Linked DNA regions of Danio rerio. The protein of the gene in region 3 interacts with the protein of the main gene of each other region in a pairwise test. Links are inferred from orthologs where the notes say so. Each region holds a gene or a part of one and is shown on either strand. Other genes may lie near its edges. The genes, in order: wwp2, itcha and arrdc1b.

Region 1 (6,708 bases), on a different chromosome or scaffold from region 3:
TTTTAAAAGGTTTAAAATTTATTGGTTTGTGTTTGAAAATGTTTTAAATAGTTTTAAGTTTTAAAACCTGTTTAAATGTACAGTAAAGACTTACTATTGTGAAATATAATTACAATTACAAATGTTTGGTCACTACATAAAAAAAAATTAATATAGTGACAGCTCCTTTATACAGGAACAACATTTTAAAATAAATCACTGCTTATGCTCTACAAGACCTCTTTTAAACACTTTAACCATAATTATCCCACACTTTTTGGACTCCAAATCATACCTTAATTTCTTTCGTTCTCTTTCTTTCTTTGCTGTAATACATTGGGTTCAACAATTCCTTGGGTTCAATCTTGTCTCAATGCAAATTGATCAAATTAACTTAATGTTTTTTTTAAATTTTAAGTTTAACAAAAACAAGTTGACTCTAAAAACTCAATAATTGTGTTTGAGCTCATTTTAAACAAGTGGTTTAACCAAGCAGCTAAAATACTTTGTGTACCCTGACATCACCATATTTCAAGGTTTTTAAACCAAAATCATTTTAAATCGGTTAAAAAAAAAATTTAAAGGTTTAAAGGTAATCCATTTGAAATGGTCTTAAGTCATAACTAAAACAATTATTAAAATATAAGGCAGCTTTGTACAGGAACAACATTTTAAAATAAGCACTATTTTAAACTTTCAAACACACTTTTGTTTTAATCATAACTCCACCACACTTTTTGGACTGTAAAGTAAACGGTGTCTTTTTCTCCTCCAGTAAGAAAGTAAGAGAACGACTTCCTCTCCACCCCGAGCGAGTGTGTGAACAGATTGAGTTTGTGGTTGTCAATAAACCCTGTGACCTGCAGGAGAAAATCTGAACACACACACACACACAGGAGAAAAGCTCTCTGTGAGGCTCAAACCCGCTCTGTCCAGCACAGCCTCATCAATGTGCGCTTGTTCATGCGTTTGTTCTGTGTGTTCTAGCAGTGTTCCCTATGAAGTGTGCATGTGTGTGTGCCAGTGAAGGGGACTCACTGTCTGAGGCGGCGCTGCCATTGGGCAAAGATCCCAGATCAACAACCAGGCCGTCCAGACAGACGTTGAGCTCACCGCCTGCTACAACCGAGCCTTTGTTCTCCGTCTGCAGAACCAGACTGAGCTGAACGTTCTCCACTGAGAGAGAGAGAGAGAGAGAGAGAGAGAGAGAGAGAGAGAGAGAGAGAGAGAGAGAGAGAGAGAGAGAGAGAGAGAGAGAGAGAGAAGAGAGGGGGGGTATTATGTGAATTAGGCGATGAAACTAATTGTTTAGCACTAGCAGAACAATACATTGATGCCTGTCATTAAAAAAAAAAAAAGGTAGACCAATAAAAACATTAGTGATGTGCTTATAAACACATGCATGCACACACACTCGCTTGAACATGTATGCACACGCACGCATACATGAACATGTATGCACATGCGCACACATGCAAATGCATGTACGCACACACGTAAATGCTCATACGCTTGTGCTCACTCAAACATCAATGCGCACACACACACTAACATGCACAAACGCATACGCTCACACATGCACGCCCATGCATAAACATGTACAAACATGCACGTATGCATGCGTGCACAAACACACACTTGCGCAAATGCACACCCAAACATGCACGAACACGCACACACACGAATGTACATGCATGAAGACATGCACACGCACGAACAAGCACTTGCACACACGAACGCAATGAACAAGTGCACAAACACTCCAATGCACGCACATGAATGCACACACGCACTCATGCACGCTCGTGCATACACACACTGAATCCTAATTTGCAATAAAGGAAAGCTTAAATCTTGACTGTTAAATATACTGTTGTTTCGTTTTTGTTTTTAGTCTCTGATTTGTCATTTGTTTTCACAGGTTCTATTTTAATGTTAACATCACAGGTGCTTTAGCAACAAAAACATTTTTCATAGCAAAACTCAATTTGCTGAACATTATAAAAGATTAAAGATTTTTTATTTGTGGACCCATTTGATGAAGCTTTTCATGATTTCAAATATGATCAAACTTTAAATACATTTCAGTAGGAACACGTCAGAGAAAAGTATGAGCTTTCATCAGAACAGAAATAAGTGTACAGCTGGAATATCATTTCCTGGATATTTTGACATTTAAAAAAAATCACATAACCCATTTGAAACCTTAAAAAAAAAAGCCACGCATTAATTCAAAGTGCTTTCTATATCAGGCTTTCTGCAGGTTTCACAAAGACTTTAAGACCTTTTAAGACTTGCAGAACAAAACTTTAACATTTTTCTTTGTAATGGGCAGTGGATAATTTACATGCCCTATTAAAAAAATTGAAATTTAAGCCACATTTTAAATAGTGTCAAAACATAGTTTTATATATAAAATGTATAATAAATATATATGTTTTAGTTTCAAAAACTATTTAAAAAAAAAAAAAAAAAAAAGGACATTTTGAAGCTGAGAGAAAATTCCAAAATAATGCTTTATTTTAATCAGAGCATTGTTGAAATATTCGTAGAACTTATTATAGTGCTTTATTCTCAGTATTTCAAATCACTATTCTTACTGTAAATCTCTCAAAATATTAAATATGTGTTACTACTTGTTTCAAAAAACTAAACGACCAAAAAAAGTAATACTTTTTGGAATTTATTGGGAATGTTTGCTCTTGGATGTGTGTGTGTGTGTGTGTGTGTGTGTGGTTTTTTTTTTTTTTATTACCATAAGTTTTAAAAAGTATAAACTAAAATTTATTCACAACAAACATAAATGCATAAATACAGGGAGAACTTTGAAACAAATGTTATTGTAAGGATGATAAGTCGCTGTCGCCACTGGCTTGCATGGTTCAGGATCTGAAAAGCTACTCAATGAATTTACCCTTCAGTGTATGGACTCAGTAATGATTTCAAACCACACTGAACTGAGCTAACCTGAACTTAAAACTGAACTTAAACACTAAAAACTGAACTACCCTGATCCAGTTACTATGACCATTTATGTGAAGCTGCTTTGACACAATCTACATTGTAAAAGCAATATACAAATAAAGCTGAATTGAACTGAACAATACTAACAATATTACTTTTGTTAACAGTGTTTTTATAGATGGATTGTTGGTTTTATAGCTATAAAAGTTTGCAAACATTAAAGTGGTGATTTCTTTTCTTTGACCAAAACACACCAAACAAAACAAATAAAATAAATAAGCCAATAAACAGAAAAAGCCCAAACTAAGGAAATAAGGCTGACAGTCTTAAAAACGCCATCACGCAGCATTTCTCTGCTTTTCTGCAAGCACAAAACTGACTCAGAAACATCTTTACCCACTTTACCCCCAAAAAAACTCTGGGCCTAACCGCGCGGAGTGATCTGCTAAACCCTTCCGGATCATATCAGAACACTCCAGTATTAATTACACACCAAACCTGCACAACAGACCGTTATTCCCAGAACTTAAAACAAATCAATCTATTTAATAAAGAGCATCAGGGTCAGTGTTCTCAGATATTAGTGAAGTTGCTCCTCACGCACCTCGAGAGGCCTTTAAATCAAGTGGGGAAAAAAAAAAAAAAAAAAAAAAGGTTCACTCATTACATTGGCTGCACTTACACTGCAGATCTTGATGGTCAATACGATTGTGACTGTATGTGATTTTTTTTTCATTTCTGCTCACATCATCTTTTAGAAGTGACTCCTGAACGGTTCTCTGCATTTACACTGCGCAAAAAAAAAAATAATTAAAAAAAATTCGGACGCTGACTGACAGCTGATAATGAAAAAGCGCTCTTTTCTCTATTCTTTTATTTAATCTGTTTGCAGAGTTTCATTTATTTATTATTATTTTTGACAAGTTGCTTTCCAATAGTTTGACAGAAAAGATTTGGCCATCTTCTTTTAATCTAGGCCTTTTTAAACGAGTAGGCATCTTAATGTCATGTCCATGGCGTAATATGTGCACGTGATGCATGCAATAGTTTTATCAGTTTACATTGGTTATGTGGTGGATAGTGCTCTCGCTCTCATATCCGATCTGTGCCACATGCAGAAAAAAAAAAATCTGAATTAAGTCACTTAAACCCTGCAGCGTAAACTCTGCCATAATCTGTCATTATTTCTCTAAAACAGTGGTCACCAAACTTGTTCCTGGAGGGCCGGTGTCCTGCAGATTTTTGCTCCAACCCTAATCAAACACACCTGAACGAGCTAATCAAGCTCTTACTTGGTATACTTGAAACACCCAGGCAGGTGTGTTGAGGCAAGTTGGAGCAAAACCCTGCAGGGACACCGGCCCTCCAGGACCAGGATTGGTGACCCCTGCTCTAAACCAACAAACAGATCTCTGCATCTGTGCTTGTCTGTGAGAGTTAGTGTGCAAGCGTGTGTCAGTGCATGTGAGAGTGAGTATCCGTGTGTGTTTGTGTGGGTTTAAACTCACTCTTGCCATCATGTGTTCGTAGAGTGTCCAACAAGTCGATGGTGGCGCTGCCCAGAAGCTCCTTCCTCAAAGTGTGACAACTCCACACCTTCAGATCCAGACGACTCTGAGGAGTCACGTTCCTGCACCACACACACACACACACACACACACACACACACACACACACACACACACACACACACACACACACACACACACACACACACGTTAGGAAAAAAATATATATACACACACACACACGTAAGTTACGTATAAGGACTAAGTTGGTCAATTAAGACGAGGATGCGCTAGTAACCTGAGCAAGTTAAATGGTAAAGGGAGAGTTTTTATAATATAGTTGAAGTCAGTACTATTCACCCCCTTCAAATTTTTCTCTTCTTTTTTAAAATATTTTCCTGAATGTTGTTTAACAGAGCAAGGAAATTTTCACAGTATGTCTAATAATATTTTTTCTTCTGGAGAAAGTCTTATGTTTTATTTCGGCTAGAATAAATCCAGTTTTAATTTTTTTTAAACACCATTTTAGGAACAAAATTAGCCCTTTTAAGCTAATTTTTTTCGTGATAGTCTACAGAACAAACCATCGTTATACAATAATTTTCCAAATTACCCAAACTCGCCTAGTTACCCTAATTAACCTAGTTAAGCCTTTAAATGTCACTTTAAGCTGTATAGAAGTGTCTTGAAAAATATCTAGTCAAATATTAATTACTCTCATCATGGCAAAGATAAAATAAATCCATTATTAGAAATGAGTTATTAAAATGATCATCATGATGATGAATTAATCAGTTTTCATGGCACTTCTTAAATATTATATTCTTCAATGAAAAGTGACGCGTGAAGGCTTACAGTGTGAGGTCTTCATTCCACTGCAGCTCGAGGTGTCCGCTGCGTTTGCCCGTTTTCTTGGTCTCGCTGCTCAGGCCGTCGGCGGTCACTTCCACAAATGAACTCAGGCGAGAGTGACGATTGGGCAGTTTAGGAGACTGAGGCTTCGCAGACAACACTAGCAGATGAGGAGAAGACGATGAACACTTCAATCAAAACAACTTCAGTGAGAAAGAGAACATTGAGGGAACACGAAGTTTTAAGACTTAAATATAACATATACTCCAGGGATTTTGAATGCTTGATTCTCATTGGCTAATGAGCATTCTGAGGTGTGCGGTTATTTTCAAATAAACACACAGCTAAAGTGCTTCCGGCAGGTTTTGGGTGCAATACAGTTAGTGTTGGAAATCAACAAAACAATCATAAACATTAATTAAAAAGGGCAGCACAGTGGCTCAGTGGTTAGCACTGGGGCCTCACAGCAAGAAGGTCGCTGGTTCGAGACCCAGCTGGGTCAGTTGGCATTAGTTTCCTTCGGGTGCTCCTGTTTCCCCCATACACATCCGCAATAGGGGAACTGAATGAACCGAATTGGCCTTAGTGTACGAGTGTGTGTGAATGAGTGTATGGGTGTTTCCCAATACTGGGTTGCAGCTGGAAGGGCATCCACTGCGTAAAACATATGCTGAAACTGGGGGTTCATTTTGTGGCGACCTCTGAAATAGACATTTTAATAATCTGCAACCTAATTACGGCTCTGTATCACTACGCTGAATGATAGCAGCCATTTCATCTCACAGCTACGATGGTCAAAAATCACATCAAAACACAACAGAAGGCTTTGGATGAGATCTGGTACGGATTTGGAAGAGCGTAAAGAACTAAAAGGAGCAGTTTAAGGACAAAAACCTGACACAGTCTGGTTAAACAGGTCTCGATGCACATGTGAATGTAGTCCGCTCATTACAAACAGACAACAGTCGGACTACATTCAGACATGCGCCGATATCTGTTTGACCAGGCTGTGGATCAAAGTTAATAATAGCAATCTTATAAATAATGTTTAATTTCTTACACTGATTGATCACTTTGCTTCACAAGACCTCAGCGTGTCTTCAGGAGCCACGGTTATTGATTTAGAATTGTTTGTAAGTGTTCATTTTTAATCTCCAAAACCAGTCACCATTCACTGCCATTATATAAAAATCACCAAGAGTCAGATTCAGCGAAAAAGTCTTCTTTAATGAGTAAAAAGAGTCGCCAAAGACCATCAAAGATGTCTGTGGGTGAGTAAACTAACAGGAAACTTTTACTTTTGGGGTGAACTATCCCTTTAGGCAGACTTACGACACATTAATAAGCGCCAAGAATGCACAACTCCATCAATTCACCAGAAACATTTATGATCTGGATTCCCGTA
Region 2 (6,708 bases), on a different chromosome or scaffold from region 3:
GTATTTTGCACTGTCATTTTATTTGCACTTCCTGTATTTTGTACTGTCATTTTATTTGCACTTCCTGTATTTTGCACTGTCATTTTATTTGCACTTCCTGTATTTTGCACTGTCATTTTATTTGCACTTCCTGTATTTTGCACTGTCATTTTATTTGCACTTCCTGTATTTTGCACTGTCATTTTATTTGCACTTCCTGTATTTCGCACTGTCATTTTATTTGCACTTCCTGTATTTCGCACTGTCATTTTATTTGCACTTCCTGTATTTTGCACTGTCATTTTATTTGCACTGTCTGTATTTTGCACTGTCATTTTATTTGCACTTCCTGTATTTTGCACTGTCATTTTATTTGCACTTCCTGTATTTTGCACTGTCATTTTATTTGCACTTCCTGTATTTTGCACTGTCATTTTATTTGCACTTCCTGTATTTTGCACTGTCATTTTATTTGCACTTCCTGTATTTTGCACTGTCATTTTATTTGCACTTCCTGTATTTTGCACTGTCATTTTATTTGCACTTCCTGTATTTTGCACTGTCATTTTATTTGCACTTCCTGTATTTTGCACTGTCATTTTATTTGCACTTCCTGTATTTTGCACTGTCATTTTATTTGCACTGTCTGTATTTTGCACTGTCATTTTATTTGCACTTCCTGTATTTTGCACTGTCATTTTATTTGCACTGTCTGTATTTTGTACTGTCTGGAGCCAGCACCTAAGCTTTTCACTCATCATAGCACACGTGCTGCTGATGTTGTGACAATAAAAGTGATTTGATTTGAGGACTATTGCAAACTTAAAGAGACAGTTCACCCCAAAAATGATCACCTTCTCATCTGTTACTTGTTTCAAACTTTTATGAGTTTCTTTCTTCAGCTGAACAAAAAAAAAAAAGGATACGTTTGAAGAATGTTGGAAACGAGTAACCATCGACTTCCATATTATTCATAGGACAGAAATTCATAAAAGTTTGGAATTGGTTGAGGGTAATACTGAGTAAATGTTCATTTTTGGGTGAACTATCCTTTAAAACTTTTATACGTATTATTTTATTCAACTGTGGTAATGCAATTAAACTTGAATTTTTCTCAAATCTCGCCTTGTCAACAACCTGACATGGAAGCAAAATATCTGCAAAAATAATTAGTTTGTTTAATACAATAAGTTTGTTTGTGTTTAATCTTACCAGATTCTATGAGAATATTTATGGTATAATTACTGTGCGTTCACACCGAAGGCAGTGAGTGTCAAAGGTTGCTCTGGCCGCCCTGGCGACAATGCTGTCTGCCTTCAGCTCCGGTGGGGAGAGCGTCAAAATTCGCTACATTGATCACGTATTTAAAGGGGCCGTTGCAGCATATCAGGTACATTCCCGCATAAAACATGCTTTCTAGCATTGCATACTTTTTATCAAATTCATTTAACAATGGAAGATCAAGTCGCATATGGTGTAGCTTTGCTCCACTTAATTATCCAATGTGTCCATTTGTCTGAAATATACTGAAGCAGCTATACTGTTTTGTATTATCGCATAAGATTTCTGCTTTTTTAAAGAAAAAAAACATATATAACATTAATGCACATCAGTAACTGGCCAGTAACTTTTTAATGTATGTTCCTGTAAGACAACATTGCAAATAACTGGAAATCCAGCAATGGCATTAATCAAACCCCTATGGTTAAACCCTTGGGAATAACTGTGTTCGGAACCAAAGTTCACAGTGACTGTGTTCTCTGGACTCCTTTCAAGCGGTGGACTTCTACATTCTGATTGCTTGCCACCGAACCATGTCATGGCTCATTACCATAAAGTTGACTTGGGAAGACGCGCTGCCCTGCTCCTCACCACTTATCGCAGGCGGCTCCCACTGAAAATGAATGACGTCCGGCTACTTTGACGCTCTCGCCGCTTTCAGTGTGAACATACAGTTTTTCATTCATTCATTTTTCTTTGACTTAGGGCCTACTCACACTATGCCATCCGTACCGTGCCCAGGCCCGTTTCCCGGATCGTTTGAGAAGTGTGAGTGCGCTGAATCGGGCTCAAGCACGGTTTACTTGGCCAGCCCTGGCCCGGTTGGAAGAGGTGTGCCTGAGCGCGGTACACTTGGGATTTGGCGCGATACGTTTGTAGTGTGAGTGCAAAACACGCCAAAGCCCGAAACTGAAAGCGATACGTGACTTTTAAGGGACTGTTTTATATGGATTTATTAATCATTCTTACTGTTCAGTGAACGCAAACTGCCGTAGTTTATTAAAGACGCAAACCCCTCACTGCACCACAGCTGCACCTTCAGCAGACCTCCTCATTCCTGCAGCACGAGGGCTTTATGATTGTTTATGAGTGCCAAAAGTGGCGGATCTGTCCGGTGAAATATCTGACTGCGTGTCACCGCATCCCTAAGGACTGTTTGGCGAAATATTTGACTGCATGTCAATGCATAACAAACGACTGAAACGATATAACTAGAAAAATCTCTACTGTGGTACTGGGTGAGAGTGTATGGCAAGCCATTTTAGCATTTAAACCTTGTTCTGACTATCCATAAATATATTTAGATATATCTCTAATTATATTTTGACTAGTCATAATTATAATTCGACTAGTCAGATTGGAGATATCTGCAAATATATTGTGACTGACTAGTCATATTCCTCCATTGACTTCCATTGAAAAATATTTGCAGATATCTCCAAATGAATTTTGACTAGTCAAAAATCCAATTCAAGATATCTACAACTGTAATTCGACTATTAGTAAATTAATTAGAGATATCTTCAAATATATTTGTAAATATCTCTAAATATGATGAATTAAAGATGTATTATGTACAAATATACATATATACAATATTATATACAAATGTATTATGACTAGTAAAAACTCAAAAAAAAATATCTCTAGTTACAATTGTTACTAGTCAAAATTCATTTGGAGATATCTGCAAATATTTTTCAATGGAAGTCAATGGAGGAATATGACTAGTCAGTCACAATATATTTGCAGATATCTCCAATCGGATTTCGTACTAGTACAATTGTAATGGCAGATATCTCATCAACTGTCATTCTGAGTAGTGGAATTATAATTATGACTAGTCAAAATATAATTAGAGATATCTCTAAATATATTTATGGAGTCAGAACAAAGATTTAAATGCTAAAAAGGCTTGCCATAGAGAGCGCTTCACTGAACAGAGCAGCAGCGATGACGTAAGCGTGCCAAGGCCCGATATGGTGTGAGCCCGGGCCGTCGGGGGAGACGGGAGGGGGGGACAAGCGTGCTTTGGCCCGGTTCGAGGCAACTGTACCTAGTGTGAGTACGGCCTTAGTCCCTTTATTGATCAGGGGTCGCCACAGCAGAATGAACGGCCAACTATTCCAGTATGTTTTACTGACCCAGCCGGGATTCGAACCAGCAGCCTTCTTGCTGTGAGGTGATGGTGCTAACCACTGGACCACCATGCCATCAATTATTAATACAATATAGTACTAATAATAGTACTAATAATAGTATTAGTATTAATTACTAATAATAGTATTAATTGTACAATTTAAATGAAGTTTTTGCTATTATTTTGCTTAAATAAAATAAATGCAATCTAATAAACATGTGCTAAACAGAAATGCTAGAAAACAAAACATAATATTTAACAACAAAAACAACAGAACTAATGAAAAATATTAAACTTGAAAAAATCTATTAAAATTTATTATAAATAATAATAAAATAATAATTGTATAGCATCTTATATAAAACATGAATTTAAAAGAGAGATTTGTGAGGGGTGAACTCATATATGCTGAGTATTGTTATAATACTGTATACAGTATTGCTAAATATATAGCAGAATTACAAAATATTGCGATGTCAGATTTTCCCAATATCATGCAGCCCTAATATAAGATTAGGAGTAATGCTTCTGGATCCACTCTGCGACTGATTCAGTATATTTGACTCTTACACAGTGAGAGACTGTTTCCATTTGGGACTGTGGGTGTTGGTGCATTTCTCCGTCTTCTTCGACTGTCCGTCCACAAACACCTCCACATAAGGACTGGGCCCAAACCAGTTCTTCTTATTCTCCCGCAGCTTAGCAGACAGAACTGAGAAAACACGACAAACAGAAGCACAGTTCAATTAAAGTAGTTCATTTGATGAGATTTGCAGTGGCTGTCCCCTGACTATGGAACAGTCTCCATTTACACGTTAAAAGGGCCTAAACACTTTTACATTACTATTTAGTCATTTAGAAGATGCTTTAAACTCACTTAACATTTACACTTTCTGTATTTAAGTCTAGCTTAGCTAAATCTAATCTGCGCTATAGTCTGCCGTTTAACACAGTGTAAAACACATTTTATTTTACTCATTATTTTTAATCCACTATATTATATTTCATAATGTTTTATTATTATTTTGAACTCATATTTGTGCAGCACTTTGGTGAACACCTGGTGTTTCCAAAAAAAAAAAGTGCTTTATAAATAAACTTTAATATGACAACTAAAACACAATTCATTCAACTTAGTTCCTTATTTATCAGGGGTCGCCGCAGCGGAATGAACCGTCAATTATTCTGGAATATGTTTGATGCAGCGGATGTTCTTCCAGCTGCAACCCAGTATTGGGAAACTCCCATAAACACTCACACACACATTTATACAATATGGCCAATTTAGTTAATCAATGTCCCTATAGTGCATGTGTTTGGACTGTGGGGGGAAACCGGAGCACCCGGAGGAGCCAACACAGGGAGAACATGCAAACTCAACACAGAAATAGCAACTGGCCCAGGCAGGACTGAAACCAGCAACCTTCTTGCTGTGAGGCCACAGTGCTAACCACGTCGATGCATTGCAATGATTCCACAAAAAAAAGACAGCCAACATATGTGAGGTCATCAGGTCATTTTGTTTAATAAATAAAACTCACCTGTTATCTGAAGTTGAGCCTTCATCTTGTGGCCATTAACAGCATTTGCAGCTCAAATCTAAAATGAAGAGATAAGCATAATATTGTTAATTTCTATATAAAAATGTTATGCTAAGAAAGAAGTAAGGTTGAAGGCTCCATTTATTAGTGAAATTCTTTCAAATATTGTCCATGTGATGTTTAACCGAGCAGAGATTTTTACAAATTTTCCTATATATTTTTCATCCTTTTTAGAAAGTCTTATTTCTTTTACCTTCTTTTCAAAAGTTACAAGGTCAATCCAGGGTTCAACGCTAAAGATTTTTTCTACTGGCCCGATCGGACCAGTGGTTCAGATTTTGACTTGTCCTGCCAATATTTTCACTGCCCCACCAAAAAAAAAAAAAAAAGCTATTTCTTAGCCTAGCCACAAATCAAAACAAAAAAATGTATACATTTTTGTAAATCTAGAATTTAAATATTTAAAAAATGTTAATAAATGTATAATGAGCAAAATTCAAAGGGTTTTGCAAACAAACGTAGCAAAATGTGCAGGTATTTTATTGCAAAACAAAAGATGCAAACTGTACAAAACATCACTTGATTTTTTTAGTCGTGGTTTACCCTCATTAATGTCTGCTTCCAAGATGTTAGAAACAAATGTTTTCCTGTGGCATCATCACTTGATGTTGACGCCATGTTGCTGTCTCTTCACTGTACTGGTTGTTATGAAAAAAATAACATGCTCACAACATCCAATCAGATAAGAGGAATAGAGAAGGTAGCATTTCAAGGCTTAAAAACACAAACTGTTTCTCGATTCTGACAGTTTTTGCACGCAATTGACAAATAGTCCCAGCCAAAATAAACTTTATAGTGACAGGGCATCAGTGGCCCGATCGGGCCAGTAATGATCCTGTCTACTGTCCTAAGCAACCGACATGCTGGCCCCGGGCCATCGGGCAGTCCTTATTGTTGAGCCCTGCAATTAAGCACATTGATCTACCTAATTACCCTCACTTGCTTAATTAACCTAGTTAAGCCTTTGTAAAATGCCACTATAAGGTAAATACTAGTACCCAACCAAAATAACTAGTAAAATATTATACTGTCATCAAGGCAAAGACAAATCAAATCAGAAAATAAATAATAAAAGAAATAAATAAAAGAAAAGAAATAAATAAAAGAAAATAAAATAAATCAAATTAGAAATTAGTTATTGAAACTATTATGTTTACAAATTAGTTTTAAAAAGCATATTACAATTAAACTGCACTTGTTAGAAATATTCTAAGTGAAGTTTATTTATAAACAAATTTCAAGAGGATCACGTGCTTATGATTGTTCACAGCTGTTCCAACTTTAGCTAATGACAGATTATCCAATCAGACGATCCTTAACCAGGGGCGGACTGGCCATCTGGCAATTCTGTCAAATGCTAGATGGGCCGGACCATTTTTTTAAATGTGGGCCGGTCAGTTTTTTTTTTTTTTATTATTTTTTTATATGTATTGTTTTTACATGCAGGCAGCTTTTATCTCGTGCAACATGTGAATATTATGATGACGTTGATGATGGTAATAATAGTAATAATAATAGTAAATGTTAAGCATTTGGCCCAATCGGTGACAGTTTCGAGAGGGGCCGACTCAATCAAAGGTTACGCGGACATAATCAAAATTTGGCAAGAATGTCAAACAAACAGTACGTATGATAATGTGGGCTGGTGTGGCTATAGTGCCAGGGCTGAATTTTTGTCCCAGTCCGTCCCTGTCCTTAACTCACTAT
Region 3 (7,162 bases):
ACCAACCTTATCTAATTTGCGATATTTGATATTCATCTACACAGTTGGCAATCTCACATGAGAAATGCTCGTGTTTCCGGCGAATGCGTCAAATATAAAAGCCTTTACAGTTCTTGGCTGTGCGTGCACTCAGTAGAGGCTCACGCTAAATGCACACACATGGCTCGCGACTTTCATAACACACTGCTTGTGCGCTTGCAAAGTGAACCAAATGGGTAATATTTCCTGAGTGGACAGCGACAATGCCCATTGCAACAAACGTAACAAGTTGTTTTCTTGTATAAGCGGAAACGCAAGCAATCTGGCTAAGTGGAAGTATCTTTCAAAACTGCAGAAAGACAAATGAATAGTTTTTGACTGCTAGCTACTAACAAGAACATTACATCATCCACATCGTTATGCCAGCAGTCAATCACCTAAATTGGTATAATATTAGCACTTTTAATAAACACACATTCGGTTACATTGAAAACAGTATTTTTTCTGCAGTAGCCTAAATAAATCTAAACATTAAAAATGCTTTTACATCAGCCGCATTTACAAATATAGCAAAAGAATAGCCTAATAATAAACTATGCTTAAGAAATTATAAAAAACAGCTTATTTTTTACATTGCAGGATGCTCCAAAACTGTATTTAAAACACAGTTAACTCCCAAAAAACGTTAACTAAATTAATTAGTTCATTCTGTTTATTTTTTTAAATAATTTTTTTACCAAAAGTACCGATAAGAGAACCGTTAAAGTAGAACGTGGTATCAATAAAAAAAGTAATACTGTTAAAACCCTAATGATACAAATCCATAAAACAATATAACATTTAAGTTGTTACCCCCCCCCCAAAAGAACTAAAGAATTGTGTTGGTTTAACTCACAGTTATTCAAAAAGTCGTATCTTAGCTAAACATCATCCTATCCTAACAAGCCATACATCGATGAAAATCACATTTATTCAGCTTTCATGTTTTCATGTCATGAACAAGTTTTAGTTTATGAGTTTCATTTTAAATCTCAAAAAACTGACACGACTGCTCTTAGGGTCTAAAGTAACATATGGAAGCAGCATATTTGGATGCAAAGAAAACGCCCTTCAAACCAACTAGCACTTTTCCTATGCACAATGGCTCCTGGAGGGAATGCCACAAATCCAAAGTAGATGCAGGTTTTCCACATTTGACTCAAGGTGAAGGCGCTCCGAGCCAATTCCTAAAGTACCAACATGGGAACGGCAGGAAGTCCTAATGAATTAAAGTGCCAACAGACAATGACTAATCACACCAGTCACATGACCTCATCATCTGGTGATGTCATCTTTCACGCATGCAACTGATAAACACTAGAGAGAACATAAACAATGCACCAATCCACATTGATGGACAATAAAAGGTGCTTTCTCATTGTTGACAGGAACAACTGAGAGAAACAGAAACATGACCACAGGAGATCGCCTATCGGTTTTTCATACAGTGTGTGTCACAAATAAGGGTGGGGTTCCTGAGTTGAGTGAAAATGCACAACAATTTCATGCAACACATTAGTCTCAAGTGTGAACACAAACAATAAGTGGAACGGCAAAAAGGAAAATGAGCTTACGGAGTTGTTTCATTGGAACATCTCTTATGTCTGTCTATTAAGTCTCGCCTACACTAAACCCAACAGTTCGATGAAAACTCTTACAATGCGTTCTTTGTGCATATTCACACTGTGTAAAAAGCACCTTGTCTAACCTACTTTCTTATCTCTTTCCCCAATGACAAGCGGTATGCAAAAATTTGGTTAGCGGAGGGTGCGGAGGGTTTGGGGCTGCCAGAAGTTAAGATGTCTTCACAATTATGGCTTTTCTTTTAGATGTTTTGACAACTGACATGGTAATCAGTCTAGAGTAAAGTGTCTGTGTATGCATGTCTGTAACTGTAGTTATACACTTGCATTGATATTTATCTGCAACATGATGATAAACTCATATAATACAACAATATGAGGGACTTAGACAGCACATCATTAAAATCCATCAGTTTAAAAAGCTGTAATATTGATTTGACACGTAACAGCACAAATACACACTCATGAGAAAGGTTATGCCTTTTTTAGGGATTCACATTTTGCTAGTTTTTACTAATGGAGGCTGTGCAGTGTGGCATTTAAAAAATACTAATATTTCTATTTATAAAAAACTAAATGTCATTTTATAAATTCTTAAAAATATTTTTTGTAAATATTACAAATATTATTCAAAAGGAAATGTTCAGATTTTGTTTAAAGATGACCAGGGAATTCATTTGTACTAAGTAATTGTACATCAATGTATGCTGACAAAGACAATTATTATGGCGACATGAGAACTTTTGCGATATTCCAATTCCATATCGCAATTCGTAACCTTTTAATTTAGTATGATTTGCTCATCCCCCAACGACGGTTTGGTTATGGGGTGGGGTGCATTAAAACTGGGGTGCATTGCGGCTGGAAGAGTATCCGGTGTGTTAAAACTTGCTGGATAAGTTGGCGGTTCATTACGCTGTAGCGATCCTGGATTAATAAAGGGATTAAGCCGACAAGAAAATGAATGAATGAATAAATTCATCAATAAGAACAAATTTTGTTATTTCAAAAGGCTGTTTTTTTTTACTAACATGCACTAACATTTCTTAACCAAACTAAACAATATTTTATTTGTTTAGAACATGTCAAACCAAAACAATCTCACAGCAATTTGTAACTTTTTGATTTAGTGGCTAATTCGCATAAATTGTCATTCAAACAATTTAGTAAGATTTGCTTATCCCCAATGAAGATTGGTTTTAGGGGTGGGGTCTGGTGCCACGCTTGTTAAAATCGTACATTTTCCTATGAATGAACTTGAATTAGACACTAAACTGACAAAACCTAAAATAGCTACATTTCTTTGTGAGATCAGGCTGGATATTCTGTTCAAGCGACATGTTTTCTTAATGAAAAAATTGTTTACGTTTACTTTCTTTGTGAATTGATTTTGTGAGATTTTATTGCAAATCACATCCATGCTGAAATTGCTCAGAATAAGTGTTGATCTGACCATTTTTGTTTTCCAGAACATTCTCTGTTGGTTAGTCAAAGTGTTTTTCTAACATAAAATGTTCCCTTTAAATAAGAAGTTCTCTTTCTATTTTACAGTCTCTGTTACATAAAAACCTAAAAAGAACCTTCTCAGTTGTAGCTTTCCAGATAAATAACCAAATAACTTAACAAGAAACTGCGGACTTCAGAAATTTGTTTAAAAACTCCACCCTCTAATCGTGAAATTAGACATTTATGACAAACATTTATGACAAGTTCTTACATTTTAGCCTTACATTACACATTTATTTTCTTGAACGGGTTTTGTTCACTAAGACATAATTCATTTAACGTTTTGGAAGTACATTTTTGTGCTTATTAGCGGTCTATTACATAGTCTTTCCCTAAATTTTTGTCTAATGTTTTAGTACAATTGCGTTTAGCAAATGACCTCATGAGCGTCGCGTTTCTAAGCGCAAGCGTCGCGTCCTGGATACTTTTGCCTGTTAGTTCTGAATGTGCACTATTTTGAGGACGTTTAAAGAAGAAAACGAAGTGAAGACAGGCATCAAACCACACTTGTTGAAACGCGAACCACATACAGCGTGTTTCATGAACCAGAAACGACTCGGGTGTGATTGTGCAATCGGACCGAAACCAACAGCAGCACATGAGAAACAGGATGTACGCTCAGGTTAATAAGAAACAAGAATGAAGACGTCGATGCCCTCCGATAACACTGCTTAATCCCTCAAAATACACATTTATGAACAAGCACTGAAACAGAAGCGACGGATGCCGAATGTCAACATGCAAACATTCAACACGTTCATTCAGCGACACGACAATGTTGACAAGCATTGATTCAATACCGTTCATACGTGAACTGGGGAAACCCTGGAGCTTACCAACTGTGTAGTTAATGGAAATCATGTTCCTACTGTAAAAGACTGAAGATGTACGACTACAGAGCATCGCTTACCTTTAAACTGCAAGGAGTGGCTTGATTTAATTCTCACAGTTCCTGATATGGATTCACCGGGGTTGTAGACCACTTTGTTGTTAGTGAAAGTAATCTCGAATTCCTGAACCTTCCCCATGTCTTCCAGAAGCGCCTCTCACGCACTCGCGGAGGATGAGAAAAAAAAATCGACGGCTAAACTACGGGTGAAAGCAGCGTCCAGTTTGACGTCCCACCTGCGGCTCTCAAGACTCCGCCCATTTGCGAGCGCTGACGTCATCGGGATGTCAGTCATTCTGCTCTTTACGGTTGTTTCAAGTAATCGTGACATAATGTTTTCTTTCTTTCTTTTTCTTTCTTTCTTTCTTTCTTTCTTTCTTTCTTTCTTTCTTTCTTTCTTTCTTTCTCATTATTATAAAATAGATTAATGTTTTGTAGTTCAATAAAAGTTCATTACTAGGAGTTACTATTTATGTTTTAAATATTCTGAAACCATGTGTCTGCACATTTCTGCAAAATTTTATTTAAGGCCTAATTGTTACAGGCCTAACAAATTAATATATGAACATATCAAATGTGGAAAAATACTTACATTTATATCGTAGTGTAATCTTACAATCTGTATTTGTTCATTTGTTTATAATAGATATTTAATTTCTACTACTGATAAACATTAAGATTTTGTTTTATGCTTTAAATATCTTATTGTAAAAATATCTCCTATGTCAGTGTTAATCAGTGTTTAAAAACTGTTTATATATATATATATATATATATATATATATATATATATATATATATATATATATATATATATATATGTGTGTGTGTGTGTGTGTGTGTGTGTGTGTATGTGTATGTGTATGTGTGTGTGTGTGTGTGTGTGTGTTTATAAACAGTGCTTAGCAAACATGAATACACCCCCCACAAATCTTTAATTTAAATAAACATTTTCTATAGGATGCTTTATAATATTATATTTCTGCATATACATTAGTTTAGTCAGTACTGAAATGCCAAATCTGGAGCTAATCTAAAAAAAAAGTAACTTACAATAATAATTGAAAATTTGTAGCCCAAATGTATGTTAGAGAAGAAAAAAAATATATTTTTTTGTTAAAATGTTGTAGATTATAATTATTACTTTTGTTTGCAATATTTTGCATAAATTTAAATGTATTATCTTTCCATTTCTAAAGATGTTCTCTGACTATAATATTATTTTAATAAATGTATCTGTTTATAAATCTGTTTTGTTTAAATGCAGCTATATATTACCCATATTCACTGAGAAATTGACAAAAATATTCATTTTCAAAATGGAATGCACTCATATATGCTGAGCACTGTATATATATAATATAATACATATATAATCCATTATTTAAACTTTTTACCTTTTCCTCAAACATTTCACAATTTCACAGACCTGTTTTTTTTTTCTTTTCTTTTCTTTTTGCTCCACACTGTATTTTCTTCATAGCCAAGCAGGAAAATCATTAGGAATCTACAGCTCCATCTGTCTGGCGACACAAGCATTGATAAAACTGAACAGAAATCTCTTCTGCCATTGTTCTGAGAATAATAAATTCATCTCATGATGGGAACTGCACACCTCTTATCTGCTGAAACTGTGATGATTTCCTCTTGTTCTGAAAGGTCTGCTTGTGGTTCACATTCAGTTAAGCCTTAATGGAAAAACATTTCAGTTTTATTAAAGTCATTTATGCATGGGCTTTAAAAAAATATGTCAAATTGGTATTTTTAAACTAAACTTCTGTGTTAAAATGTTTTAAACAAGAGAAACAAAAAAAGTTTTTTAAAAAGTTTTTTTTTATTATTATTATTATTATTTTTTAAATATATATAAAGATGTAGTTATCTTACTGGAAAGTATTTTACAGATAAACTGAACTTTGCTTTATAAACCAAATCCAGTAATTACAAATACTTGCCTATGACGCCCCCTTATGGACAGCTAAATGAATAGCAATCAAACAAATGGGCGTTCGTAAACAACTTTAAAATAGTTTTATTGTAATCAAGAGTTATAGAGCCTGTAACCACTCCCATAGGTTTTCAGCTTTCTTCAAAATATTTTATCTTGGGTTCAACAGAAAAAAAATCATAAAGATTTATAACCCCTTGAGGGTAAAAAGAATTAATAGTGAGTATATTTTCATTTTTGGTGATCTAGCCCTTTAACACAATGTAACATTTTCCTCATCTGCACAAATCTAATTTTCACTCAAAATCTTTTGCGAGAGTCGAGGAGAGCACCTAGCCAAAATAATAAAGTTAATTCTGCTACTGCCTACACTGTAAAACCCAAAAAGTTAAGGTGACTCAATTCATTCGAGGAAACCGATTGCTACAAACCATTAAGTACAAAAAAAACCGAATCAATATAAGTACTGTGAACTTACTTCATATAGGTTTATTTAATTAGATATTTGATTAACTTATTACCTTTTACACTGAGTTCAAAACTCTTTTGAAATGAGTAGAATTAACTTTCAGTCAATTTGGAGTTCACTACGCTCGATTCCTTTGATAAAGCCGACTGTTGGGTTTAACAGAATAGCACTATAATTAATAATGTTGCTAATCATTTAAAGTATGCAAGCTTAAATTTGCATTAATTCCAATAAAATTCAACATTTGATTATTTCTCTGCCTTCTCTTCTATCATGCATGTGCGAACTATTGCACAGGTCACAGCATATGGGTCACAGTTGGCAGCAGGACGGCGGTCCTCAAAGTAGCCACATTTATTCAAAGCGACCCGACAAGGGATGCGGATGCTGACCCTACGATTTGCAACACCTGCTGAGAATTCATGGATGCCGGCGGTCACATGACGACCCGTGAGGCGACGCTTGTTATCTTCTCCACCATGTGGGTCAAAGACCCGAATATGCTCTTCATGCCGCCTACTCAGTTTCTCAATGGCTTCCTCAATGTCCCTGATGTGGAGAAGAAAGATGACAGAGGTCAATGTACAATGACGTTATTCAGCACTTTCGTTTATTGTTTATTAATATTTTGCTTAACTTTATAACTCATTTATGTAACTAATTTTTATAACTGCCAACTATTCAGACATATGTTTTATGCAGCGAATGCCCTTCCAGTCACAACTCAATACTGGAAAACATCCATACAC

The links.
Region 1: the proteins of arrdc1b (region 3) and wwp2 interact in binary tests that used the Homo sapiens proteins (3 or more experiments, as listed by UniProt). The link is inferred for Danio rerio from reciprocal best matches to the Homo sapiens genes ARRDC1 and WWP2.
Region 2: the proteins of arrdc1b (region 3) and itcha interact in binary tests that used the Homo sapiens proteins (3 or more experiments, as listed by UniProt). The link is inferred for Danio rerio from reciprocal best matches to the Homo sapiens genes ARRDC1 and ITCH.

Annotation. Positions count from the first base shown.
Region 1 is NC_133200.1:37,282,780-37,289,487, reverse strand, and holds part of wwp2 (NEDD4-like E3 ubiquitin-protein ligase WWP2), read right to left. Parts: intron 5,464-6,708; coding exon 5,307-5,463; intron 4,574-5,306; coding exon 4,452-4,573; intron 1,156-4,451; coding exon 1,018-1,155; intron 1-1,017. UniProt on the Homo sapiens protein: E3 ubiquitin-protein ligase which accepts ubiquitin from an E2 ubiquitin-conjugating enzyme in the form of a thioester and then directly transfers the ubiquitin to targeted substrates.
Region 2 is NC_133181.1:60,234,169-60,240,876, forward strand, and holds part of itcha (itchy E3 ubiquitin protein ligase a), read right to left. Parts: intron 5,000-6,708; 5' UTR 4,967-4,999; coding exon 4,942-4,966; intron 4,113-4,941; coding exon 3,971-4,112; intron 2,799-3,970; exon of another isoform or gene 766-2,798; coding exon of another isoform or gene 1-765. Other genes in the region: uncharacterized protein, read left to right, coding at 1-765. UniProt on the Homo sapiens protein: Acts as an Acts as an E3 ubiquitin-protein ligase which accepts ubiquitin from an E2 ubiquitin-conjugating enzyme in the form of a thioester and then directly transfers the ubiquitin to targeted substrates.
Region 3 is NC_133196.1:16,163,191-16,170,352, forward strand, and holds the start of arrdc1b (arrestin domain-containing protein 1b), read right to left. Parts: upstream 4,215-7,162; 5' UTR 4,136-4,214; coding exon 4,018-4,135; intron 1-4,017. UniProt on the Homo sapiens protein: Functions as an adapter recruiting ubiquitin-protein ligases to their specific substrates. Through an ubiquitination-dependent mechanism plays for instance a role in the incorporation of SLC11A2 into extracellular vesicles.